Linked DNA regions of Sus scrofa. The protein of the gene in region 4 purifies or fractionates together with the protein of the main gene of each other region. This does not show direct contact. Links are inferred from orthologs where the notes say so. Each region holds a gene or a part of one and is shown on either strand. Other genes may lie near its edges. The genes, in order: AKAP5, AKAP9, myomegalin, PRKACB and AKAP7.

The links.
Region 1: the proteins of PRKACB (region 4) and AKAP5 purify together in Homo sapiens (affinity purification with mass spectrometry; 4 studies listed by BioGRID and IntAct, counting the BioPlex papers as one, with this or other methods). This does not show direct contact. The link is inferred for Sus scrofa from reciprocal best matches to the Homo sapiens genes PRKACB and AKAP5.
Region 2: the proteins of PRKACB (region 4) and AKAP9 purify together in Homo sapiens (affinity purification with mass spectrometry; 5 studies listed by BioGRID and IntAct, counting the BioPlex papers as one, with this or other methods). This does not show direct contact. The link is inferred for Sus scrofa from reciprocal best matches to the Homo sapiens genes PRKACB and AKAP9.
Region 3: the proteins of PRKACB (region 4) and myomegalin purify together in Homo sapiens (affinity purification with mass spectrometry; 5 studies listed by BioGRID and IntAct, counting the BioPlex papers as one, with this or other methods). This does not show direct contact. The link is inferred for Sus scrofa from reciprocal best matches to the Homo sapiens genes PRKACB and PDE4DIP.
Region 5: the proteins of PRKACB (region 4) and AKAP7 purify together in Homo sapiens (affinity purification with mass spectrometry; 4 studies listed by BioGRID and IntAct, counting the BioPlex papers as one, with this or other methods). This does not show direct contact. The link is inferred for Sus scrofa from reciprocal best matches to the Homo sapiens genes PRKACB and AKAP7.

The regions. Positions count from the first base shown.
Region 1 is NC_010449.5:88,536,351-88,542,746, reverse strand, and holds the start of AKAP5 (A-kinase anchor protein 5), read right to left. Parts: upstream 3,810-6,396; 5' UTR 3,629-3,809; intron 3,623-3,628; exon of another isoform or gene 3,136-3,622; coding exon of another isoform or gene 3,102-3,135; exon of another isoform or gene 2,662-3,101; coding exon of another isoform or gene 2,586-2,661; intron 1,088-2,585; exon of another isoform or gene 874-1,087; 5' UTR 821-873; coding exon 1-820. UniProt on the Homo sapiens protein: Multivalent scaffold protein that anchors the cAMP-dependent protein kinase/PKA to cytoskeletal and/or organelle-associated proteins, targeting the signal carried by cAMP to specific intracellular effectors.
Region 2 is NC_010451.4:72,051,609-72,056,722, forward strand, and holds the end of AKAP9 (A-kinase anchor protein 9), read left to right. Parts: intron 1-624; coding exon 625-775; intron 776-1,338; coding exon 1,339-1,478; coding exon of another isoform or gene 1,479-1,525; exon of another isoform or gene 1,526-2,743; coding exon 2,744-2,778; 3' UTR 2,779-3,290; downstream 3,291-5,114. UniProt on the Homo sapiens protein: Scaffolding protein that assembles several protein kinases and phosphatases on the centrosome and Golgi apparatus. Required to maintain the integrity of the Golgi apparatus. Required for microtubule nucleation at the cis-side of the Golgi apparatus.
Region 3 is NC_010446.5:100,730,194-100,736,670, forward strand, and holds the start of myomegalin, read right to left. Parts: upstream 3,926-6,477; 5' UTR 1-3,925. UniProt on the Homo sapiens protein: Functions as an anchor sequestering components of the cAMP-dependent pathway to Golgi and/or centrosomes.
Region 4 is NC_010448.4:129,589,238-129,595,579, forward strand, and holds the start of PRKACB (cAMP-dependent protein kinase catalytic subunit beta), read right to left. Parts: upstream 4,459-6,342; 5' UTR 4,328-4,458; coding exon 4,144-4,327; intron 1-4,143. UniProt on the Homo sapiens protein: Mediates cAMP-dependent signaling triggered by receptor binding to GPCRs.
Region 5 is NC_010443.5:32,357,887-32,364,196, forward strand, and holds the start of AKAP7 (A-kinase anchor protein 7), read right to left. Parts: upstream 4,263-6,310; 5' UTR 4,116-4,262; coding exon 3,860-4,115; intron 1-3,859. UniProt on the Homo sapiens protein: Probably targets cAMP-dependent protein kinase (PKA) to the cellular membrane or cytoskeletal structures.

The DNA.
Region 1 (6,396 bases), on a different chromosome or scaffold from region 4:
GATCTGGGACTGCAGGTAAGGGAGGAACATCAGAAACCACTGGGAGGGGATGTTCTATGTCTGAGGTTTCCAGTGGGCTCCCTTGCTGAGGATGAATGCTTGGTTTTTCTTCAGTCGTTTCAATATCTTTTTCAAGGATTAGCGTTCCGGTTGGAATAGCAGAATGCCCTGTACCTAACTCAAGTTCTACTGAAATCACTTTTTCTCCAGGAGAAGTTATGCTCTTGTTCACATTTGATTCACAGACCTCATCACCATCTTTCTGTGAGACATCTTCCCTTATATCCAGAGTTGACTTGGTTTTTGTTGCCTGGTCATCCAACTGGACTGGAGTTTTTATATCCAAACTTTCAGCCTCTTCCTGGACTTTAATGCTGCAGTCTGAGTCTTCTATAATTTTGGAATGATTACTTCTTTTCCCCCCTTTTGAGAATTTTATGCAGGGAATCTTGAGTCTGGATTTTGCCTTTTTCTTAGAAAGATCAGCATCCTTGCTTTCAGGCTGCACTTTAGCCTTACAGGGCTTTTGCTGCTTTGAAGAATCTGATCTTTTCCTGCATGTTATAAGGCGTTTGACTGAAACCCAGGCTCCCCCTGGGGGCTGTGGCTGATCAGAAGCTCCCGCTTCTGGGGGAAATTTCCTTGCTGCCTCAGGAGCATCAGAGCCAGCTTTGGGCTTCCTTGCTTTGGTTGCCTTCTTCCTTCTCTTGAAGCAAAGCATCGATGCTTTTTCCTCCTGCCTCTCATCCTGAGGACTAACTTCTGCTGATCTCTTCTCATCCTTGCTTTCTACTTGTATTTCAGAAACTGTGGTCTCCATTTTGACATTATATCTTTCTTTCTCTAGAAACTATGCCTCTCTTCCTTAGCAGCCTTTTATGACAAAAAAAAAAAAAAAAAAAAAAACACACACTAAATAAAATTTCTTCCAGATGGAGTCACTCCTTTTGTCTTACTCCATGGTTATTTTAGGTGGTTTCTCCAGTTATACAAATACCTAGTTTCTCTATTACTTGTAATTTCTGTCTTTAATTTCTTCATGAAAGCCCTTTTACTGGATATATTTTTGCTTTATTTAACGATCAACCTGACAAGAGAAAACAGAGTGGTATTTTATTTCACCATCAGCCTGCTGTTTTCTGTAGAGACTATGATTCTACCAGGCATGTTTCCCATATAATAACTTACCAAAATGACCGGAGAATAAAAATTGGGGTTTACTTTTGCCCTATCCAAAAAGATTTCAGCATGAATTTATTTTGCTCTCTTTGTTAAAACTTCATTTTGGATTACTCTGCAAATCTGATATTATTTTATCAATTCTGTAGTTGTGCTGTCTTTATGAACTGTTTATGACTCTGAATCGAAAGTTGACAAAAACCACCACTACCACCACCAAAAAACAATAAAGGGCAGGGTGCTGGGCAAGCTAAATTTTATTACATCCAATAAGGAGTTCTGAAGTTGCAAAGGATCTTAGAGATCATTTGAGATTATTCAGATCCAGCCAGATGAAGAAACTGAGCTCCAAAGTGGGCAGCTGGCCCGCTAAAAGCCACACAGTTAGATGAGGTCATAGCCAGAGTTAGAACTGAAGACTTTAACTCTCTGATGTTCTTTCCATTATACCATAAGGTTTCTGTTCTAAAAATGTATATTCCATGAAGGAGGTGCTACTTTTCATACATGCTCTTGGGAAATTTAACATTACTGTCATTCTCCACTCTTAAATTTGTTTGTATAACTTTGACATTTTTTTCCTAAGTATCTGCTGTTTAAACATTTTCCATAACGAGCACGTAACTGAAGATCAGAGTGAATGATAACAGTAGTTGACATTTGTTGAGCAACTCCTGTGTATTAGGAAGTGCTAAGCCCTTTTACACACATCTCTAATCCTCCCACATTATAGAGTAGGTGGTGGTATCACCATCTACAGATGAAGAAATTGAGGCCCAGAGCGAGGTTAATTTGCTCTAGATGAGCTAGTCAATAACAGAGCTCAGATTCAACCCAAAATTGCTTGTTTCTGAAGCCCATCCCCTGAAACTGGGCTTTAGGATTTTCATCAGAAAAAAATGACGTTTTTGGAGATGCTAATCTGCACCAAACTCACTAGCCCGAAAATTTAAAGATTGTTCAGTGGTCATGTAACCAGGATGCAGCCCATCAACTCATAGCTGAAGCAAGAGTAGACTGAGTTCTTGCCATTTTAAAATCAAGCTTTTGAAATTCTTTATATTTTCTTGGTTCTGGAACTAATCTAAAAGCCAAAAATAAATAGATAAGTTGTGCAACTGACAAACTGATTATACATAAACATAAAGGTATATTTTAAAGTTAATCCACAAGATGGTATGATAGTACCAGAGAACAGAGAAAGGAGGTGACCACCTAACAGAAATCCTGTGGATTTTAGTTTATGGATGTCTGAAGATAAGCAAAGGGAATCTTTCTTTGTACTTTTAAAAAAATGTAAATCCTTCACTGTTGAAGGTTTATTTGGGCAACTCCTGATTCCATGAACCACAGAAGGAATTGGAACTCTGAATATCAGTTCATGATGTAAGCAAATATTCCCTTAGGTCGGGTGATACATACTCCATTGCCTCCGACAGAAAGACAAAGCCATCCTACAACCATGATGGAACTAAAATATGAACATTTAACAGTGTCCCTCTAAACATGATACACTAGAACCACAGCTAATTATAGCTCTTTGTCTCCGCACCTCTTATGAATCCTCCCACCTGAGTGTTTTTTTATTAACCGGAGGGATGTATACCTAATAGAAATGCTGATATTAGATCATTTAGGAATGTGTCATTTGAAACTAACTTGGATTGCTCAAGGACAATTGCTTGAGAAGCTCACTGGAATGTATACCAAGATGTAGAACTACAACAGATATCCAAACAAAACCTAACTGAAAGGGGGAGAATGCAGTCTGTGGCTATTAAAACTTTGCGGAACATTAGACTGCAAATGATTCGTCCTTAACCTGCAGAAGTAGTTTTATTGCTCCAGGAAGCTGTAATTTCCTGATAGAATCGCAAGTCTGCTGCCACTGAAAATACCCCTTGCCCTTTTCCCGTGAGCAGAGAAGCACGGAGGCAAAGAGCAGCCACTTCCTGAGAAAAGCGGTGCATCTCTCCCCGCGCCAGGTGTGGGCCACACGAAGCTTCCTTCAGGAGGAAGGCATCTCTCATTCGGCTTGACGCGCCTTATGGCAGGAGCTAGAGCGCAGGATAAAGTACTCAAAAAGGAAAGTGCTGGGGCGGGGAACAGCTAATCCAGCTTCAAGCTAAATGTACAATTATAATGGCCAGGAAGCCCACACCGCATTCGCCCCGAAAAGGGCAAGGAAGGAAAAAAGCTACCAGCTACACAAGCCCCCAGGACAACTCAAACGCGGGGAGGGCAGGTGGGCAGAGTGATGAGGGTCGTACTGAGTGGAGATGTCTGCGGACAAACACCTTCCCCCGTTGTTACCCCGGCCACCTTCGGGGCCCCAGATTCCCGGTGGCCAGCGGGCACCTCCCGCCCACTCCGCCACGCGGGCGGTCGGCGGACCGGACACCGGCCCCGCGCCCTCTTTCCTCACAGCCTCATCGCCCGCTTCACTTACCGAGGGCGCCGGGGTCCCTGGACAACGCTGCCGCGGAGGTCGCGGGGGCGCCCGCGGGGCCGGCGGGAAGGCAGCGGCGCACCGGGAGCGAGCAACCCTCTGCAGAGGGACCGCAGCCGGGCGACGCCCCCTCCCCAGAGCGCGGGGACCGACAGCTGGAGGCACCAATGCGCGTGGAGCAGGCGGGCGCGGGGCGGGGCCCGGGCTGGGGGCGGGGGCGGTGGCCCGGGGGAGGGGCGGGGGGGGGACAGGAGGTCCACCTGCGGGTGAGCCCAGCCCCGGGCGTGGGACCTTCGCGCGCCCAGCCAGGCGGCAATCTTTTAGGCGCGACCACATCCAGGCAAGGGCCGGGGGCCACCGAGAGAGATGGGGAGGGGACCAAGGTCGTAAGCCTTCCATTTTCTCAGATGCAAAGTAGCAAAATCCAATTTTAAACTATGGGCACTCACATCATAAATCCCCCCACTGAATATTTAAAGTCACAGCAGATATCACATTTTAAAAGTAGGATTCAGATCTGTGCAGAGTCAATCTCGTTTGAAAAGAAAAATTACCTATATGAATAGAGAAAATAAAACTTTTCCAGGAATGGGTTTGGGTGTAATGCACTTATCACGGTTCCCTGCCAAAGGTTCTCAGAGGCCCAAGACACAGACCCTTGTCTCCTAAGAATCTAGGAGGAAGGAAGAGATGATGCAAACTGTGTGATATCGATGTCAGAAGGGCACAGAAACACAGCCCCCTCCCTCCTTTACATCTTGTATATTTCCAGGATTCAGTCGATTACAAGTTACCCGTTTCCCTTACATTCCTAGGTGTCTGCTTAACCTTGTCCCTCTCAAGTACAGCGCGGGGTGAGGGTTAGGGGTTTAAAACATGAGTTGACTTTCCTCACAATTCTAGTACAGACCAGAGCAAAGGGCACTGGCAATATTCACTCTCTGTTTGGCTAGGCTGTGTTATTTTCACACATTTTGAGAGTCTTTATCTAAGCAAGTTCCCAGTCATAGTGAAAAGCACCATAAGCATTGATTTGTATACATAATCCACTGTATATAGTGGATTAGCACCAATGAAAGGTGTTGCAGTGAGAGTTTAGGGTGACTTGCTTTGGGCTTAATATTACCTACAAGGGCATTCCTGGGAGCCTCTATGGTGAGGTCCTGCAGGATGCACAATTCCTGCCTCCTCCTCTGGCCCCTCCCAAGCATACTATCTAGATGAAGAAGCTATTAAGGCAGAGGGAAGAACTATGAAAAGCAGTTGTACTTATCTCTTTTCTTCAATAGGACCATGAGCTTTGAGAGAGTAAAGCTCTTACCCACTTTTGGATGCTTATCCAGGAATATAGTTTACCTTTGTAAGATTCTTTATTAAGGAAAGAACTATTTACACAATAGCAAAGCTGAATCTAAGCTGTCAAGATCCTAGAGACAAGCGCTATAAAACAGGAAAATCCCTAAGCACCTATAGTAGAGATAATTAAGAATTCAATTTATCTTTATTTATTCAGCTAACACCAGTCTGTGTACATCTCCTTTATATCCCCAGATGAGTTACTAACCCTGCTTACTGCCAGATTTGAACTCTGAACAAGCCAAAAGAAATCCATGCCATTCATAACCAACTGAGATGCTCTTACTTACTAAGTACAAGTTTTCTCAAATCTAGATCTGGGAGTTAGCTACAATTTCAGGCAAAAATAAGATGAGCTTATCTAAATGAAGACAGAGTAGAAGAGCTGTCTTTATTAGAAAATAATTGGGAATGAAATAAAGGACAGGTTAAAATAATAAAGGCCATTTTAACAACTTGTAGATCTTATTCCACTTGTTTTCCTTTCTTTTTTGGGTCCCACTTGTGGCATATGGAAGTTCCCAGGATATAAGTCCAATCGGAGCTGCAGCTGCTGATCTACACCACAGTCACAGCAGCACAGGATCTGTGCCTCATCTGCAACCTATATCACAGCTGACGGCAACGCCGGATCTCCAACCCACTAATCGAGGCCAGAGATCGAACCTGTGTCCTCATGGATACTAGCTGGGTTCATTTCTGCTGAGCCACAACAGGAACTCCTCCATTTGCTTTTCTTAAAACAAAACAACTAAAGAATGGGAACCGAAGGGTACTCTGAAGAGGTGAATTGATTTTGTATTTGAAGGGCAGATTTCTTTAAGCTGTATTCTAAATAACTCATTCCCAACTTCCAACACACGGGGTATAGAACCATATAAATAAAATATTTCACTGTGGGTTTCTTTTAGGATACAGCTAGAACCTGACGCCATATCTGAGTTTTAAAAAATGTATCCCTCACCTAGGAAAGAAAGCTATCATCCCCAAACTCAGTTAAGTGACAGTTGGTAAGCTATTACCCATATCATTGTCTGCTACTCCATTAGTAGCTTTTCATTATATAATGAGAAACAGTTTCTAAATATATCTCCCATCTGATGAGAAATTATCCTACCTACAACTTATCTTGTTAACATCACCAGATACAGTGTGCCAATAAAATAGCTTATATGTCTGATTTCTACTGATCATACCATTTCTCCCATCCTGGTCCCCAACCACCCATCGTGGCCTGGGCCTGTAGCTACCAAAAATGGTTTATAATGCCTTGATAATAATTCTTACATTTTAGAGACCAACTGGTAATAAGCCCTCCAGCTCCCTTCCCTGTAACACCATTAAATGAACCTGTGGCTCCAGTTCTCTGCTGGTTTGATCTCTTCCTGGACACCATTGGGGTTGTACCATCC
Region 2 (5,114 bases), on a different chromosome or scaffold from region 4:
TCCTTCTCTCTGTACTCAAACATTTAGGACTTCAACATTTCAGGCAAAAGGATGAGGTCAGAAGCTGGGGAGCACACAGAGTTATAGACACACAGCATAACTTGTATGTGTTGGTATTAAACCACCTTGATGTGTTCTCTGCAGAGAAAGAATAAATATATTTGGTACTCTAAGCAAATTGTTTTTGAAAAACACATCCTCATACTGAAAACAGCTAAAATTTGTACCATATATGAATTCTGTGTTGTAAGAGTAAATCTTGGTTTTGAGTTTTTCCCCAGTAAAAGTCAGTAGTATGAAAAGACTTAATTACATTAATCTAATTTTCTTTATCCACATCATCTTTTCCCCCAAACTTCACCCTAGTTAAAGCTAAGGTAAAACTAAGAAGAGGTCTTTTAAATAAAAAATAGTTTATTTTCTTTGAGGTATAGTTACTTCCAAATTATCAGAAATACTAATATTCAAGTATAAACAAAACAACACTTGTCCTCTCTTTCTCCCTGTAGCAAGAATAATTGAAAATGACAGTAAAACAGATATAGTAGTAGAGTATGGTACTCTTTTGAAGCCTTATCTTTTGTAGAAATTTTTCAAGGGCTTGGTATTTTTTTTCTTTACAAGGTACATTTTGGATTACTTTAGGTGCTGAAAAGACTGACTCATTTTATCATTCTTCTGGTGGATTGGAGCTATATGGAGAACCAAGACACACTGCGTATCGCTCAAGATCAGATCTGGACTATCCAAGGTCTCCTTTACCATTTCAGAATAGGTAAGAATTTGATAAAAACCTGTACCAATATACTAATTCTTAAGAGAAAAAGGATAGTGTTAGGGCTTTGACTGATTTGCATTAAAAGAACTAAATACCTCTTTAGTTATATATGATTTACATAACCTAAAGCTCAGAATCAAAAATAGTTTTTGGATTTGTAACTGGTTTCCAAGGGCATAGGAAACAGAGCTGATCAAGTGTTAATTGGTATATATGCTGTGATTAGACATTGGGAAAGGCATTGACTAAAATTGGTAGTTTCCAGAATTATGAAAAAAAACTCTAAAGTTTGCATAAGGTGCATTTATATGTTTGCAACATTTATTGATGGCCTTGGCAACAGGCAGTGTGCTGGACATTCTTTTGATGACTTAGTATCTGCTTCGAATTTATTGAGGAGTTTTTTTCCTTTATACATGGCAAACTCAGACATATGAGGGATATAGATGAGGCAGAGTACCAGTGGTCTACCTTTTGAAGGCAAGGTGGAGCTCGACTGGCACATTGCTTGCATTGTTTTTGGATAGTTTGGATTCATGTTCGTATTTTTTATCTCATAGGTACCCAGGCACTCCAGCTGATTTAAATCCCAGTTCTTTAGCATGCTCTCAGCTTCAGAATTATGATCCTGACAGAGCCCTGACAGATTATATCACTCGGCTAGAGGCGCTACAGAGACGGCTTGGAACTGTACAGTCAGGTACCCTCAGCTTAACCAAGTACTGGCAGCACCATGGTGCTAGATAGACCCAGAACTCTTTCTTTTCTTGAAATTCCTTGACCTTCCTCATTAGGACAATCAAATCTTAAACTTGAGTATGAGTTACCAAGCTAGATTTAGGAATTTAAGCCAAAACTTGATTTATCACCCTGGATCCCACTCTCCTGCTTATCTCATTAAGACAATTGATTAGGTGAAGTACATGATGAGCATCTATGTACAAAGTACTCTGAGACACACAGAGTTTCTGCTGGAGAATTTGCTGCCAAGTGATACATGCTGAGGCATCCAAATAAGAGCTGGGGAGATGAGAGGAGGAAGCAAGTGCTTTTTATATGTGATCCAAGAAACCCATCCTATTCAAAGGACTGTGCAAGAATGACCTTTTATTGTCTCTGCTAAAAACAAAAAAAAACAGGAAAAGGGAGGGGGAAAGAAAACCACACAAAAATTTTTTTGTACTTAGTAAATGTGGAATCCCTTCCCTTTTTATTGTGGGAAAAAACCTCTCTTCTCTGTCTCTCAATTCACTCCTGATTCAATGGTCTTGAATCATTTTAATTTAATGAGCTTTAAGTCAGTTTATATGTATGTATGTGTATATGTATATTTTCCTTTTATTAAAGACCCTTTTTTCCTACTATTCCCACAAAATAGATAGGACTAATAGCCAGTTATTTTAAATTAGTAGTTTGCCTCTTCATATAAGAAATTGTCTAACCCAAGCAACTTATAGTTGTAGGAAGCAATTATCATAGCAGGACTTGGTTGGCCTGAGCATTTATATTTCACAAGACCCAGATTTTTAAGACCAAGAGGTATTTCAAGAGGCAAGAGGTATAGAACATTCAACCTGCAGGGCACTTTACAGAGAATCTTATCATTAATCTCACTTAGCATGCCCTGGAGCCAGCCACGGTGAGTTTTGAATATATGTTCAAGGTCTCCTATTGTGTAAGCCAGCTGCTACAGCTCTGATTCCACCCCTAGCCTAGGAATCTCCATATGCCCTAAAAAAAGACACACACAAAAAAGAGTCTCTTTTAAAAATCAGTTCAATTCTGAATAAGATTATTTTAGGCAGAAAAAAGTTTTTAAAAATGGTGCCTCCTTCTGCCCTTCATGGAGTCAGACGCGCTACCATTGCGCCACAAGGTCCCTCTTCTGCCCTTTATGAACTGGTTAGTCTGATTTAAGTCACAATCTCATTGAAATCACTGAAGTATCCTATTTCTATGTTACAGGTTCAACTCAGTTTCATGCTGGCATGAGAAGATAATCCTTTGAAACATGAATCAAAGTGATTTTAAACAAATTCCCTTTTGTAAATCAATGGTTCTTTTGTGCTTTTGTATTGTGGATATTCACCGGGACCAATACAAACACAGCTTATGATTGTATACAAATCCCTTGCCAGCACATGAAAACAAACTGGATTCTGTACATATAAGCATTGTGTATGTATTCATGCACAATAATCATCAAATTACATGTATATTTGTGGAATGCTAATTTAAATGATTAAATTATAAACCTTGTGTATTTATCAAATGGGTGAAAAGATTAAACTTTTGCGCATTATGATACTGTTGAATGTGTAGCTCGAGGTGTCCTGCACTTTTCTTATAAGGCTACTGAAGTTACATGTTACTGCCTAATATATTTGCTACTGGTGATAAAGACAGATAATATCACTTGTAGAGACCTATTTTTGTATAATGGTAGAAGTTTTGGATTTTATGGGGTATTTTGTCAAGTACTGAAATAAAAATGACTTCACCATTTTAACTACACTGTATTTGAACCTTTTTTTGTTTTCATTTTTTTGGTTTTTAGGGCCACACCCACAGCATATGTAAGTTCCCAGGCTAGGGGCTGAATCAGAGCTACAGCTGCTGGCCTGCACCACAGCCACAGCAACACCAGATCTGAGCTGCGTCTGCCACCTACACCACAGCTCATAGCAACGGCTGGATCCTTAACCCACTGAACAAGGTCAAGGATCAATCCCACATCCTCATGGATACTAGTCAGGTTTGTTTCCAGTGTGCCATAATGGAAACTCCTGAACCTTCATTTTTAAGCCACAGTTCATGGTGCATGTCTTATTAGTCTGTTCAGGTCACCATAACAAAATACCATAGCCCGGGTGGCTTACAAAAACAGCAGAGATTTCTCACTGTTTTGGAGGCTAGGGAAATCCAAAATCAAAACACAGCAAATTTGATGTCTGGAGAGAGCCTGCTTTCTGACTTCCTAACTGCCGTCTTCCTGCTCTGTCCTCACATGGCAGAGGGGCAGGGTGCTCTCCCAGGCTCTTTTGTGAGGGCATTAATCCCATTTGTGAGAGATCCACCCCCAAGACTAATCACCTCTTGAAGGCCCCACTTCCAAATACCAACATATTGGGTGTTAGGTTCCAACATAGGAATTTGGAGAGACATCTCATTATTTATCTCAAGTATGTAGGACCTAGAGATTCAGAAATTTGCCCTGATTTTAGAATTGCCTACTATTGGGATTTTTCTCTCCCCACACTGAGGAAGAGTTTTTCTGTGTGCCTTCCTATCAACTTTAAGTCTACATACAGTGTTTTTTAGAAGCTGTATTAGTATTTTCATGATTAATCCACATTTGCCTTACTACGTTAGGGTTACTTGTATCCAAAGCTATGTCTTCACAAAGCCCTGCCCGCTAAGATGATGTGGAAATCATTTAATTCAAAGAATCTTCTGTTAACCACAGCGTAGCAGAATTAAGCAGTATTCTTGCTGTCTAATAGAAATTCAGAGTGAGGTGCTCTCACAGATATAATACACATCTCTATGTTACTTCTTAAGTAGCGCCCTCCCTGATAACATGGCCATCACTGAAACAGCAAGACAAATAGTATCTGATGCTTATTTCTGGAGGATTTTGTCTTAGCATTAGATATTCTATGATTTATACCAACACAAACATATTAGCAGCTGAATTCCAATTGGAGGACTTCTAAAAGTACTATATTCTAAGACCTTGGTTGAAGTGGGAAGGTTGTGAGTAAAAAGCTTTTTTTTAGCTAAGCATAGCCTCCCATTCAGGATGATTCTGCGCTAGGAGAGAATGAAAAAAGAGCAGACAGAGAAGCCTCTGCTCTGATCAGTCCCATTTCACTCCCATGGTTTGACCATCAGTCTCCTTATGACATTAGATTTCTGCAGTGAAACTTATTAATGCTTCTTAAATTAGTCTGATTAAAAACTGAATCTATTAAAGTCTTAAAACTCTACTCACTAAACACAGACTAAACACCACAGTGTTTTAACCCTTTTGTGCCAGGATGTTCTCTAGCAGTCTTGTCAAACCAGAATCCCTTCTCAGAGTAATGCTGACATAAATAATACAGACGTAAAATATATGGGATTGCCAGGGAAACCAGTTATTTAGAAAGAGACTTTATAAATTTTCTGTGGTGAGAAAAGAAAGAAGATGTAGCAGATCCAATAACTACTATAATTTCAAAGCAGTGATGAGAGTTAAAGATACTTCCAAGAGATCTGCAGCATCTATCAAAGTATCTGTGGTTTCTGTTCACAAACCACGGATACTGCTAATGCAGCTGCCTAAATTCATAAA
Region 3 (6,477 bases), on a different chromosome or scaffold from region 4:
AGTGGTCAGCCCCGCCCCTCGGGGAGGGGGCGGACGAGAAAACACTTCAGGGGGATGCTGTGTGACAGCAGCGCAGGCCGCGCACGAAACCTGCCATGTCTCCTCCAGCTGTCTCTCACGCCAGCCACGGTGTCCTCAACGTCCTCCCTTTTAAGCGGGCTTGGTTCACCATACACTGACCGCCGTCCGCGGCTGACGCAAAGGCTCAGAGATTGAGGATCAGATTTCAAGATGGCGCCAGCGACTCGGCGCCGGCGGCCACCCGCAAAGACCTCTGGGAACTGTAGTCCGACAGGCCGGCTCTTCGTTCTGCGCATGCGGGGCGGCGAGTGCGGGCCCCTAGCCTACAAACCCGTCACTGCTCCTTGCCGTAGAGCACAGACCTGGCTCGCGTGGGTTCCGCGGAGAGCAAGACAGATGCCATCCACTGTCAGCCCACTGTCATCTTCTAAAATTTCACTGAAAAAGCGCACCAGTTCCCTCACGGATCCTTCCGCCCGCTTCTGCGGGATGTTCCGAGGCTCTGCGTGGGGAGGAGTAAGCTGAATCCCCTCCCCCTCACTCCACGGGTAGTGCCACGTACTCTGGATGGAGCAGCCTGGCAGCACCACTAGGTACCGCTGCGCGCCGCCTCCCTCCCGCCTGCTGCCCCACCTCCTCTCCCTACCCAGTCTGGTCCCTGGATTAAAAGGCCCTGGGGCTTCAGCAGCGGCGAAGGAGAAAGGGTTGATAAACCAGAGGGAGCAGGTAGGGCGGATATTAGGAGGATCAGTTCAGCCTCTCCCTGTCGGGAGTATCTGGAAAAGAGGACAAATGCTTCTCCCCACGTGATCTTGGGGTTGCGTTTAGCCTCCTGCATGATTTGCCCTTTTTTAGAAAAGAAATAGCACAAAGCAGTCACCCGAGAAAGTCCAACAAAAACCACATAAATGCAGCTGGTTAACCAAGATTTTGAAGATAACAGAGAAAATGAGCTTTTTCAAGAATGTAAACATCTGAGAGTAGATTCCCATCACCAAGTCCTCTTTCAGGTTCAGGTAGACTTCAGGCCTTCTTTTAGGGGTGGGAAAGGGAGACAAACACTAGAACAAAAGGCTTGTTTATTTGAGCAAGCAGTTCCTAGTGTTGGGGAGTGCTGCAATCTGTAGAAGTGGGGCTGAGAATTTCACTGACTTCACTTAGTATCCTGTATTATTCAACATTATCCAGTAGTAAGACACCCACCCTTGGGTGTAGAACTTGGAATGCACGCAAAGAAAGGAGGGAAACTGGAATTCTGTCTAGGTGAAACTGAGGTGTCAACGTCCACTTACAATAAAAAACTCTCTCCCTGGCTTGAGAGGTATCCAGCTTCCAGATGGAAAGGAAAACGGACCCAAGTAATCATTTCCCCAGAGCAGAACATTTATTCCCCAGTTACAGTAACCCTAGATTTCACTAACTTGACCTTGTAAAGTCAGCAACAGTCATAAATATTTCTGAATCTCATCTCCAGGACAGAGCCCACGCTTCTAAACCTGGAGACATTCAGATACTTTTTTTTTTTTTTTCCTTTTTTTGCTTTTTAGGGCCACACCTGCCTCACATGGAGGTTCCCAGACGAGGGGTCTAATTGGAGCTACAGCTGCTGGCCTACATACACCACAGCCACAGCAACAGCAACGTGAGATCCGAGCCATGTCTGCGACCTACACCACAGCTCAGGGCAAGGCTGGATCCTTAGCTCAGGACAAGGCTGGATCCTTAGCCCAGTGAGCGAGGCCAGGGATCAAACCCACAACCTCATGGTTCCTAGTAGGAATCATTTCTGCTGCACCACAATGGGAACTCCTCAGATACTTTCAATGAAAGCTCATAATAAACCCCCAAACTTCTTATTGAGGATTAAACGAGATGATTTGGGGGAAGTGCTTTAACAGAATTTGGCTCACTAAATAATAGTTAATATTATTTTAATATTATAATAATGGGACTATTTTAAAGTAATTTTAAAGTTTGATGGGGGCTCTGCACATATGAAGTTTTATTGCTCTTATTTAATCATCAAGACAACATCTTATCAGCTCCATCATGAGAGATAAGGTCAGTCCTTAGAGCTTTGGGTTTAGTAGGGTACAGAACTTCACATCTGTGATTTCACCTAAATGTGTAGTTCTGACCCCCAAACCAAGAAGGTAAAATAGAGTTCCAAGTAAAACTCACTACAGTGATAAATGAGCTTCGGAGTCAGAAGAAATTAAGTAATAATCTTTGGAATCTATAGTGCTGTACAGAGAGGCAAAGAGTTTCTGGACTTCCACGTCACTACCCTGCCCTACCCTGTCTTAAGTGTTGTCCTAAAGAACAGCAAGGACTCAAAAGACCAAAAACTGCAAATTAAGACATTAATCGAGGCCTCATCTTTGTTAATGCAAGCCATATTTTCCCAATGGGGAAAATGCTAATGAAACAAAGTGCTCTTCAGGAGCAAACTCTAAACAATACTTTGTATTATTCTCTATTACTTAATAAGATTTTGCATCTAACTTGCAGCCTCTAGACTTTAATGACAGTATATAGCTAGTTGACATACAAGTCAGTACTAATGGAGAAAAGGCAATTTCCCATCAAACAATATGTTTCTTCAGTGGTAAAGATCAATATAAATAATTTTAAAAAATGGTAAAGGTCAACATACTGAAAGAGAGCTATACATATCTAGGCTTTCAACAACAGACAGGAATAAATCATTCAACAATCAAAAAAAATCTGAAGATAGCACTCTTCACTCTCAGAGAAAATATTTAGATCATATCTCAAAACAGATAGTAGACTACTAGAACTACTCCTAAAGTGATCATTTGGTATTATAAAAAGATCATTTTTGTATAATAAAACTTGGAAAGAAAAATTAAAAAATGAAGAAAAATTATAAAGTAACAATTCAGTACTTTATGATTCTTATCAATATCGTCTTGGTCAAGATTTTGTATTTGGTTAACACTGGCTACCTATGGGGAGGCAAGCAAAATAGGGAGCTGAACAGGAACATTTACTTTTATTCTATATATCATGTATCATTTGAATCTGGGGCATGAATCTATATTCATATATTATTTTTTAAATGCTTTAAGGTTAGGAAATATTCTATAGTTAAAATGAAGAACTGTGCCAATTTAAGACTTAGAGTCTAAGTGGTAAATCTTGAACCTAAAATGAGAATTTTTCTAAAATATGATATATATATTATATATGTGGACAACTTATATAAACAAAGGTTCACAGGGATATACAAGTTACTAAATCATGATTATGTCTGGAGAGTAGGATTATGGATACCTTTCTTCTTTCCTCATTTGTATTCTATAATTTTCTATAATAAGTATGGATTGATTTGTGATAAGAAAAATATTACTAAGAAAAAGGTAGGATAAACACATTTTCATATATTCACATAATGTAATATTAACCACCAATAAAAAAGAATGAATTCTGATATCCACAACATGAATGAATCTCAAGTGTCTTATGTGAAACAAGCCATTTCAATACATCCTGTGTGATTTTTATTTGTCTAACAGTTTAAAGTCTAACAATTTCTATAATGATAGAAATTCCAAAAGTGGTTATGGGGGGTGAAATAAGGTGAGAATTGGTTACAAGAGGGCACAAAGGAACTTTCTGGACTGATTAAAATGTTCTATTGTTTTGGGTGATAGTTACATGGATGTGTACAATTTTTTTTTTTTGTCTTTTTTTGTCTTTTTGCTATTTCTTTGGGCCGCTCCCGCAGCATATGGAGGTTCCCAGACTAGGGGTCTAATCGGAGCTGTAGCCACTGGCCTACGCCAGAGCCACAGCAACGCGGGATCGAGCCGCATCTGCAACCTACACCACAGCTCACGACAACGCCAGATCCTTAACCCACTGAGCAAGGGCAGGGACCGAACCCACAACCTCATGGTTCCTAGTCGAATTCGTTAACCACTGCGCCACGACGGGAACTCCGGATGTGTACAATTTTAAAGCTCACTGAAAATGCTTTTTCTGTAGATTTTATCCGTTGGTATAGTTCAATTTTAAAAGATTAAAAAGGTGTAAATAATTATAAAAATATATATAGCCCACAAAGTTTAATCTGAGGGATTAAAGTAACCCTCATTCTATCATAAGAATAGCTTTGAAAATTGGGAAGATTAAAATATAGCCCAGAAGAAATTTGATGAAATGTTCAATTGTGACTTTAAATTTTCATAGTTTCTATCCAATGATCTTGGAAAATATTATTTTATATACATATACACACCACACATTTATTTATTTATTTTTTTGCTATTTCTTTGGGCCGCGCCCGTGGCATATGGAGGTTCCCAGGCTAGGGGTCCATTCGGAGCTGTGGCTGCCAGCCTACGCCAGAGCCACAGCAACGCGGGATCTGAGCCGCATCTGCGACCTACATCACAGCTCACAGCAATGCCGGATCATTAACCCACTGAGCAAGGCCAGGGATCGAACCCACAACCTAATGGTTCCTAGTCGGATTCGTTAACCACTGCGCCACGACAGGAACTCCCCACACCACACATTTATAATAGAAACAAAAAACATATTGTTAAGGTGAGACATAAGGCTTTTGTGATGATTTAGAACAAAATAAATACTTCTAAAACTTATCAGAAGTACATAACAAGGGAAAATTTTACTGAGAACAAGTTTCATATTATGATAACCTATAATGAATTAGACAAATGATTAATTTTATATACATGCTTTCTGCCCTCACAATGGATTGATAAGTGCATTCATAAGCACGTGTCTGCTATCTGTCCTAAGTCAAATCGCTTATATCGGGCCCTTAATTTCCTAACCTACAAAATAAAACAATTAATTTAAACAGTGGGTTTTAGTCTTTGGCATGCATCAGAATCACCTGGAGGGTTTGTTAAAGATTTAACAAGTTTTAATTCAGTTATTCTGAGAAGGGGTCCAAGAATTTGCATTCCTAGAAAATTCCTGGGTCAAGCAGCTGCTGCTGAGAACCAGACTTTGAAAACTACTGAATTAGAACTCTCTTATTAAACTGTATTCAGACAAATCTTGCCAAAAGATCAAAGTTCTGCAGATAAATGGAAAACCAATTAATAAAGAATTACATACAAAATTGTTGAATTTAGAGAACTATCTTCCCATTTGGAACAAGATTCCTAAGTATTACTATAACAGGGATCTTTTGCACTATCTCTATTTTGATCTCTAGATTTTGGGCCCTGGGAAGATTCTCCTAAAAGCATAACTACTTTTGTACTCACTCTGTTGTTGTGTTTCTAAGACCTAATAATTCTGATCTGGGAGGGAGTTTCCAAGAGATGGAAAATCCCCATGTCCCAAACCAGTTGTATTAGGTTTCATTACCCTAGTTATGGCATTGGAAACAGCTGTTCTAATTACTAAAAACTATGCCAAAAAAAAAAAGTGATTCTGGCAGAGAATCTAAAGCAAATGAGGAAATACAAGAATGTAAAAATAAATGCAGTTAGGCTTTATGGTAACACCATAAGCATGTGCACGATTTTCCTCTGCTGGTTGGAAATCTTTAAGAAGCCAGAAACAATCATGCTTTGCGTTAATTGATAACAATATTACAAAATACTTGTTTTAAAACCAGATTTCCTGTTCAAGTACAGATTGCAGTAATATGGTTATCAGAAGAATTAATCTTAAAATAGTAAACGTTTGAGTCTCTCAAGTTATTAAATATCCATAGCTATTTAAATAAATTTCAAAATATTTGTTAAATGACATAAGACATGACACCATAAAACTCCTGATAGAGAGCTTAGGCAAATCATTCTCTGACATAAATTGTACAAATGTTTTGTTATGTCAGTCCCCAAGACAATAGAGATAAAAACAAAAATAATCAAACTTACAAGCTTTTGCACAGCAAAAGAAACCATTAAAAAAAAGAGAGAAAACATACGGAATGGGAGAAAATATCTGCAAACAATGCAACTGACGAGGGCTTAACCTCCAAAATATACAAACACACATACAGCTCAACAACAAGAAAACAACCCATTCAAAAATGGGCAGAAGACCTAAATAGATATTTCTCCAAAGAAGACATAGAGATGACCAGTAGGCACTAAAAAAATGCTCAACATCACTAATTACTAGAGAAATGCAAATCAAAACTACAATGAGGTGCCACCTCACACAGGTCAGAAAGGCCAGAAATAATAAATGCTGGAGAGGATGTGGATAAAAGGAACTCTTCTATATTGTTGGTGGGAATTTAAGTTGGTACAACCACTATAGAAAACAGTATGAAGGTTCCTCAGAATTACCATATGATCCAGCAATCCCACTGCTGCATGTGTCTTTTTGATAGCAGCATTATTCACAATAGCCAAGACATGGAAACAACCCAAATGTCTATTAACAGATGGATGGATTAAGAAGATGTGATATAGGAGTTCCCGTCATGGCACAGTGGTT
Region 4 (6,342 bases):
CATCACTTATATGTGGAACCTAAAAAATAATACAAATGAATGTATATACAAAACAGAAACAGACTTGTGGTTACTAGAGGGACAAAAAAGGGGGTGGGGGACAAATTAGGAATATGGGATTAACATATACCAACTACTATATATGATAAGCAACAAGGATTTACTATATAGCACAGAGAATTATACCCATTATCTTGTAATAACCTATAACGGAACAGAATCTGCAAAAATACTGAATCACTATGCTATACACCTGAAATTAAAACAACACTGTATTTCAACTATACTTCAATTAAAAAAAAAAAAGCTACTGAAAAAAAGTATTAGTTCTAATTAAGTGCCCAGCTCCAATAGAAAATGTATAGCAGCTACTACCTTTCTGTGTAGTAGAATAAGCACATTAACCTTTCCTGCATTGTGCTAGTTAAAATTCTTTAGGCTCTTTTAACAAAGACCACATTATACATTATTTCTCATTTTAAAAAACTGCACTGATTCCCCATTAATTATTAGAATGTAGTCCAAAATTCTGAATATGTAACAAAGCTTTCAGAGATCAAATCCACATTCTACCTTTTCAGATAGTATCTCATTATATCTTTTAAGTAAATCCTAAATATCCATATTTTCATATATATGTGTGTGTTATACTCTTATAATAAAATAACCTGTTTCTCCTCCTCTGAGTCTCAAAACTTCAATTCTTTCTTCAATATACTTGAAGGCCCCATCTTCTCTTTAGTGCTAATTTCTTCTTACACTAAGCTCCCACAGTAAGCTACTTAAATATTTTTAAGCAACCATTTCCCTATTCCTTGAATATTATGTTATCTGTATGTTTACTCTTCCTACTGTTTTTCAGGGCAAGAACTAGATCTTATGTCTTTCCAGAGCCTTCTTGATAGTCTACAATATTGTAAATCCTCAAAAATGTTTGCTGAGTAAAAACTGATGACTACCAAGATGCTTACAGAATAGTTAAAGATGAAAAAAGTAGATAAAAAGATGTGACAGGTCTTTTAGCTTTGAAGTCATAATGATACAGATTTAGTGGAGGATAATTTGAGAAAAAGAATGTGTGTGTGTGTGTGTGTGTGTGTGTGTGTGTGTGTGTGTGTGTGTGTGTGTGTGAGTGACTGGGTCACTTTGCTGTACAGTAGAAAACTGATGGAACACTGTAAACCAGCCATGACGTAAGAAATACAAATCATTAAAAAACAAGAAATAAGCATGGAAGTGAATTATCTTAAAGACAGTGTAAGCTTTGGAAAGGTAAAACTGACTAGATAAAGTAGTCTATTATAACCTGTTTAGCTTTGATTTTACCTGAAGAAATCCATATACAAAATTACTTATTTGTTCAATATACTATTTAACTCTAAGCTTCACTAATATGGATTTGTATCTGTTGGAGAAATAGCCTGTCAATTCACGGGAAAGGAGAATAGGTAAAGCGTTTGATGGTATTCATCTATTCAGTCCTTCAAATATGGTAATTAGACATTTACTAAATGTCTAATGTCCAAGATTTAAAATGTGCAAAATTTCCATCAATTTCAGCATTGTGTAATTCTACACACCATTTATGATCAAAGGAATATTTAAAAGCCAACCATAATAAATTTTTTTTGCTAGAAAAAAAACTCGAATGTCAATATTCCCATCTCCACGATGAGAATAAAAAGCAGAATTCCTTCGTGTTTTTGTTTTGAATTTCATGTATTTATGTGTGTACGGAATCAGCTGTTAAATATTTATGTTCTCAAATAGGATTTTCTGTTACTTAATTTAATAGTAAAAGATAAAATGCATGTAAGGCACCTGGAAACCACTATGTGGCCTTTTTTCTGTATTTCTTCCTCTATTTCATGTCACCACAGAAGAAACTTGGATTAAATTTATTAAATTTCACACATTCCTAAATTGGTAATTAATCTTTACTCAATAGTTCACAAACCTAATTTTTTATAAAATTGCATGTAGTTTCTGTATTTAGTTGATTTCTTAAATAGTACTTTTTGAACAAGCATAATCAGAGAGCTTATTATCAGGAGATAATACATTCCTTTTTCTTGTCAAACAAGTCAATGAAAGCAAACTGCTTTAAGTAGCTTTCAAGAATGTGGCTTGTACGAAAACTTCATATGGTCATAACTTCTTCCATAATTCACACTACGAATGAATAAAAACTTGTGTTTTCACCACAAAAACTAACCTTGGAATTTTGAAACAAAAGGATTCCTCTGTTTCTGTTGTATCTGTTTTTTCCTTTGTATCAACACATTCCATAGAAGGAAACTAGAACTTCATGCTTACCATACTTATCACTAGATATATAAAGTTATTGTGTCTGTTTTGATATTTTAGGATATGAAAGAGAATGTGGAAGAATGCTTGATTAATAAGCATTCAGTTACTCTAAGAATTCCCTATATCATGACTATTATTTGAATGGCTATCAGGTTTGAACCTAATTTCACTGTGTACAATGATCCTATTTATTTTATTTTGAGACATCACAATAAAGAAAAATGTTAACAGCTTTTATCAGTCTGTTTTTTGGTCAAAAGAAATTCTAGCTCATATTTTTAATTGCTGGATTTTAAAACATGTCTCAGAAAATGTGATAAGCCCCCACACATTTTAAAAATGGTGATAGTATAGTTCAAACATAATTTTTAATCAAAAAGTTCATGATGTTCATTTGAGATACATTTATTAAACACCCAATATTTGTAAGAACAGACATTAGCGAAACAGAAACTAATTTAGTACTGTCCTCATTCCTCATTGAATGTTCAATTAAAAGGTCCTTGAAATGCATAAAAATGTTTTCCAACAGGCCTTAGGAGGCAATTTAACAAAACAGGCAAGCAGAATGAATAGCAAATTTTTGTTGCATGATAAACTTTAATAATGTACTACTGTTTCAATATTCAACAGTTCATTATTTTGAAGATATTTGAGATTCCTTATCCAACAACTTGCAGTAGAGTAAGGATAATTATAATCAAAACCTCTAGAGTAAAAAAAAAATTGTACAAATATATATTCATTACTTTCTCCCTAAAATAGCTTGAAAAAGATGAAAAAATTCTGATGCAGTAAAAAAAAAAAAAAATTCAAATAAGTTTCTGTGGAACTATGAAGGTACTATATAAACCAAGGAGTCAATTTTGTAAGCCATTCTTGGTTTTTTGCTGCTTTTTTTAAACTGAGTTTTCTTCCTTAATTGCAGTGGACTATATATATAAACAGAAAGAAGCAAAACCTAGTTCTATCTGGTGATCGAATACACTAAAAAGGGCAAGAAATATTTTCTTTAATCAGAGTAACAAAAATACCTTGGGGAGGGTTCAAGGTGAAATGTGGAATGGTGGCACTGGTATTGTTTACATGTGAAATTTATCCTTTAAAGTACATGTCACAAAAAATTATTACATATCACTATTTCAGCAAAGCAGTAAGTTCAAACATTTTAACATGCCTGGAAAGAATGTGATGCATGCATAAACAACTTCCCCCATATGAAAACTTTTGATATTTATAATGTTATAAATATCAGATATTTATAAAAGATATTTATAACATTATAAGTACCAAAAAATCATGCTACCCATGCTTTCATATTAGAAATAATGTTTATAAAACTGAAGTTACTTTTCCACATGCATTTAAAAATAAAAAATGGCACTCACGATAAATTTTTAATTATTATTTCAAGAATTTTTTCCTTTTTGAATTTTAAGACATAAATCCAAGATATTTTAGAATAAACTGAAAATTTTTTCTTAAATGTAGGTATTTCACTTGTACATAAGAACAAAAACAAAAAAATCCCAAACAGCAACATACACTAGATATGATGTAAGAATTTTGTAGAAAAATTTCCCACTGATATTCAACTTAAATAGTCATATTTAAAAGGAAACAATGAACTATGTGATTCAGCTCAACCTAGAATCAAGTTTTTGTGGATTTTTTCAACTTCATCTTGCAAAATATCCTTGTACAAATCACAAAAAGGCAAAAAAAACAAAAAAAAAACAAAACCCAAAGTTCTCCATTTGAATCTAAAACTCCAATTAGTATTTTAGCTTCTACTTACAATGTACCATGAAAACAAAACAAAACAAAACTTACTTGATCTGTCCCATAAGACAGTATGTTCAGAGAAATGAAGGCTGTCATTTTCCAGAGTTGTTTTCTGATCATGTGCAGTACCTTTGGAGTGTCTATGAAATAATCGGCTGGCAAAACCTTCCAATTTTTGAAGTGCAGTTGTACCTGTATACTGGTTACAGGGTAGTTCTCTATAAGCTGCCATTCATGTGCATTTACACTTAACTTAAAGTAACTGAAAATATTCTCAGGAGGAGCTCAACAACTTCTTACACAGAAGCTAAGAGCTATGCATGTGTCAAACTTCCTGTTTGCAGGGTATTCAAACCACTACTGCTGTTCTGTTTCCTGTTAATATAAAACAGCACATTACCGAGCCTCTCAGCAAAACTCCTCATCTCAACTGAGCTGAAGATTTTAAAGACCTGAAATATCATCCTAAAAGGCTCTACGTTTAAGAGTGTTTTATATTAATACACAGTTACTGAGACTATTAAATATAAAGTTTTATTATAGATAGTAAACTAAATATTTTTTTTAAAAAAAGAACACTAGTTAAACATGTATTACAACTCTGTAAACATCTGAAGGCCAAATCACTCTCCAAATATATGTTACAAATGTTTTTTTTTTTTTCTTTCCAAGAAATCGGCTATAGATTTTATGAATCCTTATAAGTAGTTAACTTTCCACTGAAAACTGGTATGGAATGGATATTATAAAACACTTGCAAAACAAATTTATAACATAACTTTCAAGTTAAAAAATCTGAACTAGCACTTAAAAAAAGAACTCAATGTTGCTAATCCACTGACTTAAATCTAATATATACAGGAACTACAAAAACTTAGTATGTCATTATTATTCATCAAACATAATCTGACAGGTGCCTATCAGCAGTACACTTTAAAACATTGTAAAATTTTTTTAAAAAAGATTAAAATTATATAAAATCAGCCACAGTAAGAAATTTCAATTAAGAGGAAAAAAAATCCTTCTAATTGTCTGAGACATGTTAATTTTTAAGTTTAACACTAAGGACTACTGCTCACCCATCCCCTGATTTAGAGAGTTTTACTTGGAAAAAGCTGTTTTGGTTAAAGCAAATTGTCCATTTATAGGAAAAAAGTAACATGTGACATTTAACAATGATTTGGAGTACCTGCCTTCTCACACTAATTAAAGGATAAGAAATTTCTCTTTGGAAGCTTTAAATAAGGGAAAGAAGGATGGCTGGATGGATGGAAAGAAGGAAGGAAGGTACGGAGGGAGAGAGGGATTTAAAAAAATCTATCTAGAAAAATCTTGGTCTAGATTTCCTGCCTACTGCTTAAAAAATAAAATAAATATAAGCATTAACAATAAATACAATAAATAGGAATAACAATGTAATCAAATAGGACACACAACACACATGCACCTAGGAAACACTGACTAATGAATTTTGTCAAATAACAGCTCATTTGTGTATTTTTTTTTGTGTAATAAAATTAGCATCAATCTAAACAAAGAGGCAACTGTACCTGTAAGATCAAACTTCTTAAATTTGTGGTTTTCTGATAAATGTGTTATATAATAACAATTTATTAACATCTGACTTTGCACCAGACACTGAACAGGTGTCTACAATCTTTAGTAAACATCTGCAGAGTATGAACTGACTCTGTATGAGCATAAGTAGATAAAATTCCTGAATTCTTTGACTTGCTCTCTTGGAAGAAATTCTATTCATCCTTAAGGCTCATCTCTTCAATGACGTTTCCCACATACTTCCTAGAAAAATAAACTGCTCTCTCTCCTTTTTCCAATGATCTTATAATTTTATGTTAAAATCTGCTGCTTATAAATTTGTCTCAAATTGTGAGTTACTTGAATTCATAAATACAATGAATGTATTACATACTCAACATACAGTGAAGTATTCATTCATTTTTAATAAATCAAAGGTCTAAGTAGAATCAAACATTTGAAAATGTTTTAATTTTGAGAGGACCATATTTGTAAATTACCCAACAATCACCTAGTTGTTCATATACAGAGTTAACAGCAATAAAAGTGATGCCATTTAACTTTTTTCTCCATATTCAGTCAGCTACTAAATTTTACTCAGTCTTTGAGAATTTCATTTTTATTAGTGCAAATGTGGATTTCTAAAATAACTTGTCTTCTCTACTTCTAGCTAATCCTTTCAGTCGTCTCTGACATATTAACCTCCCCCAA
Region 5 (6,310 bases), on a different chromosome or scaffold from region 4:
CAATCAACCTCAAAGTAAAAACTCAGAGTAATCATCTCCTGGCAGGGAAAACTTTCCTGATGACACGTTCAGGGCTGAGTCAGGGAATCCAATCTCCCTCCAGGTACCTCGGGCTTCCTTCAGCCACAGCACACATACATCGTGTTACAGGTGTCCACTGGCATGTCTTCTCCATTAGACTCTAAGCTAAAGTGACCACAGAGGCTACTGCCCAAACCACTCTTTTGAAAGTGAAAGGGGGACTTTTTCATAATTATATCCCTATCCATCTACAGGATTGTGCTACTCTAAGTTCCCTAACTGCTGTGTCTTGCTCTCCGTTGATTCTGTGATGCATAGCTCAGTGTTCGGCTTTCAGGAGGTGCTCCGTACACCGTACTTAACAAAGTGAGCCCCATCTGGGAGTGGTTAATAAATCACTCAAGCTCCACTGCCACACAGCTATCTCAGGGCCCCCAAAAATAATTCCTGGTGTTTAATGGCATTCTTAGCACATCACGGATTCATGTTCACGGGCTAACTGATATCCTATTTGACAGAATAGCCAAAATGGAATCATAACATAACTTGCTCAACACCATTCTCCATCTTGTTAAACGAAGCATATTAAAAACTCTTGAGTGCAATATTATGTCAAAATCAATAGTCTAGAACTTGAAATACAAACTTTGTTGTATGAAGTTACAGAACAATTGAAAAATTTTTTGCAGATATGAATTATTAATTCAGAAAAAAAGAGAATACCACTTCCAAGTTATCTCTTGAAAAGAACTGCTGGTCATTCTATAGAATAATGTTTCTCAACAGGGTTTAAATCTGGAAGCCTCCCTCCAGTTCCCAGAGCTCTAGTGTTTGAGCAAAGGCTGGCAGATGTGAATTAAACACATCCATCACAATTGCACTTTCTTTTACAGAAGTATATATATTTTGCTTTTGGAAAACTGCCTTAAAATAACCGACCTCTAAATAAATATTTAAACTGTAAATTTATCATTCTGAGTACTTAAAATTTGGTTTAACTCCAATTAAAACAAAATTCTATCTTTTGTACAAATCCAAAAAAAAAGTAATGCTGCTAAGTGCATTCATACTATAAAGATGAAGTTAAACTGGTCAACTACCACTAGCAGTAACAACAGCTAACATTTGAGCATGTATACATTTGCCAGGCACAGCGGAAGCACTTTACCAAGAGTAATCCATTTAACCATGGTATCAGGGAGGTATTTTTTTTTTTTTTTTTTTTTTTTTTTTGCCTTTTCTAGGGCCCCTCCCATGGCATATGGAGGTTCCCAGGCTAGGGGTTGAATTGGAGCTGTAGCCCCTGGCCTACGCCAGAGCCATAGCAACGCGGGATCCGAGCCACGTCTGCAATCTATACCACAGCACAGGATCCTTAACCCACTCAGCAAGGGCAGGGATCGAACCTGCAACCTCATGGTTCCGAGTCAGATTCGTTAACCACTGCGCCACGACAGGAACTCCAGGGAGGTATTCTTATCATACTCATTTTACAAACTAGCCGATGAAGTAACCTACCCCAGGTTACTAAGCTAGTAGGTCTTGGGGCTATAATTTGAAACCAGTTACTCAACCACGAAAACCTGCCCTTTCCAGCAAAAAGCCTGATGGAAAGTTAACAGTGTTTACGGTTCTGTAAACTGATCTGGCAATGATGTTCTTCTTACAAAAGAGGTACCAGGAGAAGTTCCTGTCGTGGCTCAGCAGTTAGAGAACCCGACTAACATCCATGAGGACGCAGATTTGATCCCTGGCCTCGCTCAGTGGGCTAAGGATCTGACGTTGTCATGAGCTGTGGTGTAGGCCGGCAACTATAGCTCTGATAAGACCCCCTAGCCTGGGAATCTCCATATGCCGTGGGTTCGGCCCTAAAAAGACAAAAAATAATATAAAAATAAACAAATAAAATAAATGTAAAAGCGAAGTGGCATAATGAGAACTTATGAAAAGCAGGGGATACCTACACTAACCTTTTAAAAAGCACATATAAAACTATATATACTTGTGCTATGTTGGCAATTACATAGGATAAGGCTAAAGGATATAAATTATTTCTAAATGCTGCCATAGTTGTACTCAATATATTTGTATTTTTCCTGTTTCTGCTATCCAAACATCTTACATAGAATTAATATTACTTTTTTTTTTTTTTAATCTTTTTAGGGCCGAACCCATGGCACACAGAGGTTCCCAGACTGGGGTGGAATCCGAGCTGGCCTACACCACAACCACAGCAACGCAGGATCCGAGCCGTGTCTGTGACCTACACCACAGCTCACGGCAGTGCTGGATCCTTAACCCACTGAGCGAGGCCTGGGATCAAACCTTCAACCTCATGGATGCTACTCAGATTCATTTCCACTGAGCCACAATGAGAACTCCTTAATATTACTTTCCGGGTACCGCGGGAATCCGGGTACCGCGGCCACATCGGTACATTAAAAAAACATTAAAAAACAATTAATGCATACATCTAAAATATATTACAAAACCATACATGAAGTATATATACACTAATATTTGAATATACATGCATTTTAGAAAATGATTTTGTCACAGACCAATAGGGGAAAACAAGGATACTTCATCCTTTGTCACACAAAATGCAAGCTTCCTATTTGGATAACAAAGTACAACTTTATTAGGCAAGATTCTCTTCAATTCACTCGACTAGGTATACAGCAGGGAGACTTCCCAAGAGCCAGTGGAAAGGGTTAATCCCATCATTCATGCTGGTCTTGGCCTAGCTACTAAAAATAGAAACATCTTACATCTGGAGAAATATTGAGCTGGGTGATAATCAACAAGTCACCTGACCTCCATGTTTTGGTTTCCACATCGTTTAAAAAATGAACGAGAAAGAGAACAAAAGTACAATCCAAATCACTATAAATACACAAAATAAGCCAATAATATCCGAAATGAAATGTAAGAAGACAAACAAACATCTTAAAGGCACATCATCAGGATTCGAACGTTGGCCATACACTAAAAGCACTCAAGACACCGGGATGTGAAACCTTTCTCTTTGACAACCCCCTATGCGTTCACTTCGGTAACCGCATCCATCTCAAAACTCCCGCTCTCAGCATCCACCTACAAGGTCTTCGCTTTTCCATTCTCTTAACTCTTGTAAACTATTGTATAACATTTTCACGCCTTTTATACCTTTTTAAGCGTTTATACTACAAAAATCTCACGGAAGAGCACCTTTTCTCTAACCGGTTTGTTGGTCCCTTTCACCAAAAGTTCGGCCTCTAACCCTCGCTCTACCCACAAAGTTCAGTTCACAGGAAATGCTGACTTAAACTAGAAATTAATTCCCGGCCCTACCGCAGATTTGGCGCCAGTTTAAAGGGGTCTTAGAATAAAATCCTAGCAGGAAATCCTAAAAGTGGTGGTTCAGGTCTTTAATTTTGATAAAGTATAAAAGTGGAGTTTTTCTAGGTTTTGCTGGCCACACAAACACTGTCGGTGGGTGTGCGTTGGCATGAACTTTCCGAAAGGTCACAAACTCAGAAAGGAAAACGAAAGCGAAATTTAGGGTGCGAAACTTAGGGTGTTTCAAAGGTGAAACACCCCCGGCCTCTGTGGCAGCAGCAGTGCGTGCACTAACTGAAAGCCTTGCTTGCAGGCACTGATCACACCCCCAGTGCACGGCTTTCTCGAGGCTACACTGAGTCCCGCGCTGAGCCGGGAGAGGAGCCCCGGAGCAGGGCAGGCTCAGGGTCGCGCTGCAAGGTCTGGGGGAGAGACCAAGCCCTCCCCGAGGCCGAGCGGGGCCCACGCCTCCAGGCTCCAGTCGCCCCACCCGGCCCGCTCGGCCGCCCGGGCTCACCGGCTCCGGGGTGCTCCATGGTGGCGGCGCTAGCGGGCGGCAGGCCTCTGCAGCCGGCGACAGCGGCCGGGCGCTGCGGCCAGGGACTGGGCGCGGGGCGGAGGCGGGAGGCGGGGCGGGGCTGGGGGCCGGGCGGCGGCGCGCTGGGGCGGAGCGGGGGGCGGTGGCCGCGGCAGGCGGCGGGGGCTCGGGCCGCGGCGACCAGGCCTGCGGAGGCGCCGAGCCCCCAGATCTTCAATCCCCGCAGGAGCTGCATGCCCAGGCCGCGCGCCCGGAGGGAGTGGAAGGGGCCGACCCGATGTGGCCGCGGTACCCGGATTCCCGCGAGCGAGGGAGGCGGGGGAAGCCGCAACTACTGCGCGAGGGAGAGAAGAGGGCTCCTCTCTGCCCGGCGACGCTCCGCCCCCTCCTTGCCCCGCCCCCGCCGGGGACCTCTAAGGTCTTCCGCTGCGCTCAGTTCTTCCCAGTGCCCGGCCTTTCCTTCCCGTGCGGAGGGGGTGAGATTGGGCCCTTAAAGAAGGAACTCCCTGGTCTGGGTTCTCCTGAGAATCCATGTGTTTGGTTTTGCAAAGAGCTTTCAAAACACAGCGTTCTGCTTATAAAATACTTGGAAAGAGCGAGATGTGCAGGAATGAGACCTTGTCAGTTTGTATAATTAGATCTTTACTTTGCACTAAAGGAAAAAAAAAAAAGCCAAAGTTCCCTTGTGGCGTAGGGGGTTAAGGATCTGACCTTGTTGCAGGTCACATCTGGATCGCTGGTTTGATCCCTGGTGCAGAAACCTCCATGTGCCTGGGGTGCGGCCAAAAGGAAAAAAAAAGCCAAGTTGTAGCAGTGTCTCAAATTTTTAACCCTGGTTTCATGCCTAGAAATTAAATGGAAAGCAGCTATTTGTGGTTGCATATTAAAGGACTGACAACTAGGGGGAAAATTTTACTTAAAAAAAAAAAAAAAGAAACTTTGGGAATTTCCATTGTGGCTTAGCAGGTTAAGAAGACGACATAATTTCCGTGGGAATGGGGGTTCAATCCCTGGCCTCACTCAATGGGTTAAGGATCAGGTGTTGGAGGCAAGCTGTGGCATAGATCTCAGATGCAGCTGGGATCCAGTGTTGCTCTAGAGTATGCCTGCAGCTGCAACTCCATTTCAACCCCCCTGGCCCAGAAGGTTCCATATACTGCAGGTGCTGCCTTAAAAAGAAAAACAAAACCTTTTGATCTTGGATCAGAATTCTACTGGAAGAGTTCCCCTTGTGGCTCAGCAGGTTAAGAACCCCACTAGTATCCATGAGGATTCAGGTTCTACCCATGGCCTCGCTCAGTGGGTTAAGAATCTGGTGTTGCAGTGAGTTGTGGTGTAGGTCACAGATGCAGCTCAGATCCCAGGCTGCTGTGACTGTGGCGTAGGCCTGCAGCTGCAGCTCTGATTAGACCCCTGGCTTGGGAATTTCTATATGCTGCAGGTGCGGCCCTTAAAAGCAAATTCTTCTGGAGTTTTCTAAGTGCAAAGAAGCCAATCAGCAAGGAAAAGTAGATTCATCTTTCAACAAATTAATAGAGACTATCTTGGGAATGATAGCACTTGCCTTATCTTGAATGCATCCTATACTGAACATGGAAGCAAGGACTTGCGCACAACCCCAATAGTTGGCAGAAAGACCCTATACAACTAGTCATAAAGCTCGTTAATCTGGTTGTAAAATAATTCTACCAAGTTGAGTGTTTGGTTGACAGGTTCATTGCAATTATGGGCTGGCTAATTGGAGAAGGACAACAGGTTCCCCTAATGCCTACTACATCCTGGGGTTTTGCAGGTGAGTAAGATGGGTCTTTTTCTTAAGGAGCTGGTCACCTAACAGCAGAGAAAGAAACAGGAGTCATTGCAATAACTAGTCAACTAAAAGCTGCAAAAAGGAAATCCACGGTCAACATTGAAGGGGATCAAAATATGCCACTTTAGCATTAAAGATTATTTTGAACTAGCAGTAATTGAGAAACAACAGACACTCGAGGAATTTTTGCCTGCCTCCTTTCTGCCTAAAAGCAGGGCATAAATTTTATTTTGTGAAGGTGACGTGAATTTCCACTTGTAAAGGCTTTTCCCTCCCTTGGTTCAGAAGAGGAGAATAAATCTCTGCATAACAGACCTTACCTAACAACCCTTATTTACCACACTATTTCCTAGGAAGGCAGAGGCTGTTTTGTTTTTCCAAGTGCACAGTGGTTGTTCAGGGACTACTTATTGAATGAATGAATGAATGAATGAATGAATAAAAGTTTTATAACTATCAAATCTGTAATCATATTTGCTAAAAAAAAAAAAAGTAACACACCCAGATAAATTTCAAAAAAAGAAAAAAAAGAAAAGGAAATCAATATCATGGATAATCTTATTTCCCTAAAGCTTCACCAGCTTGAGGCTAATAACATCTGAATCTTTTTTCTTTTGGGC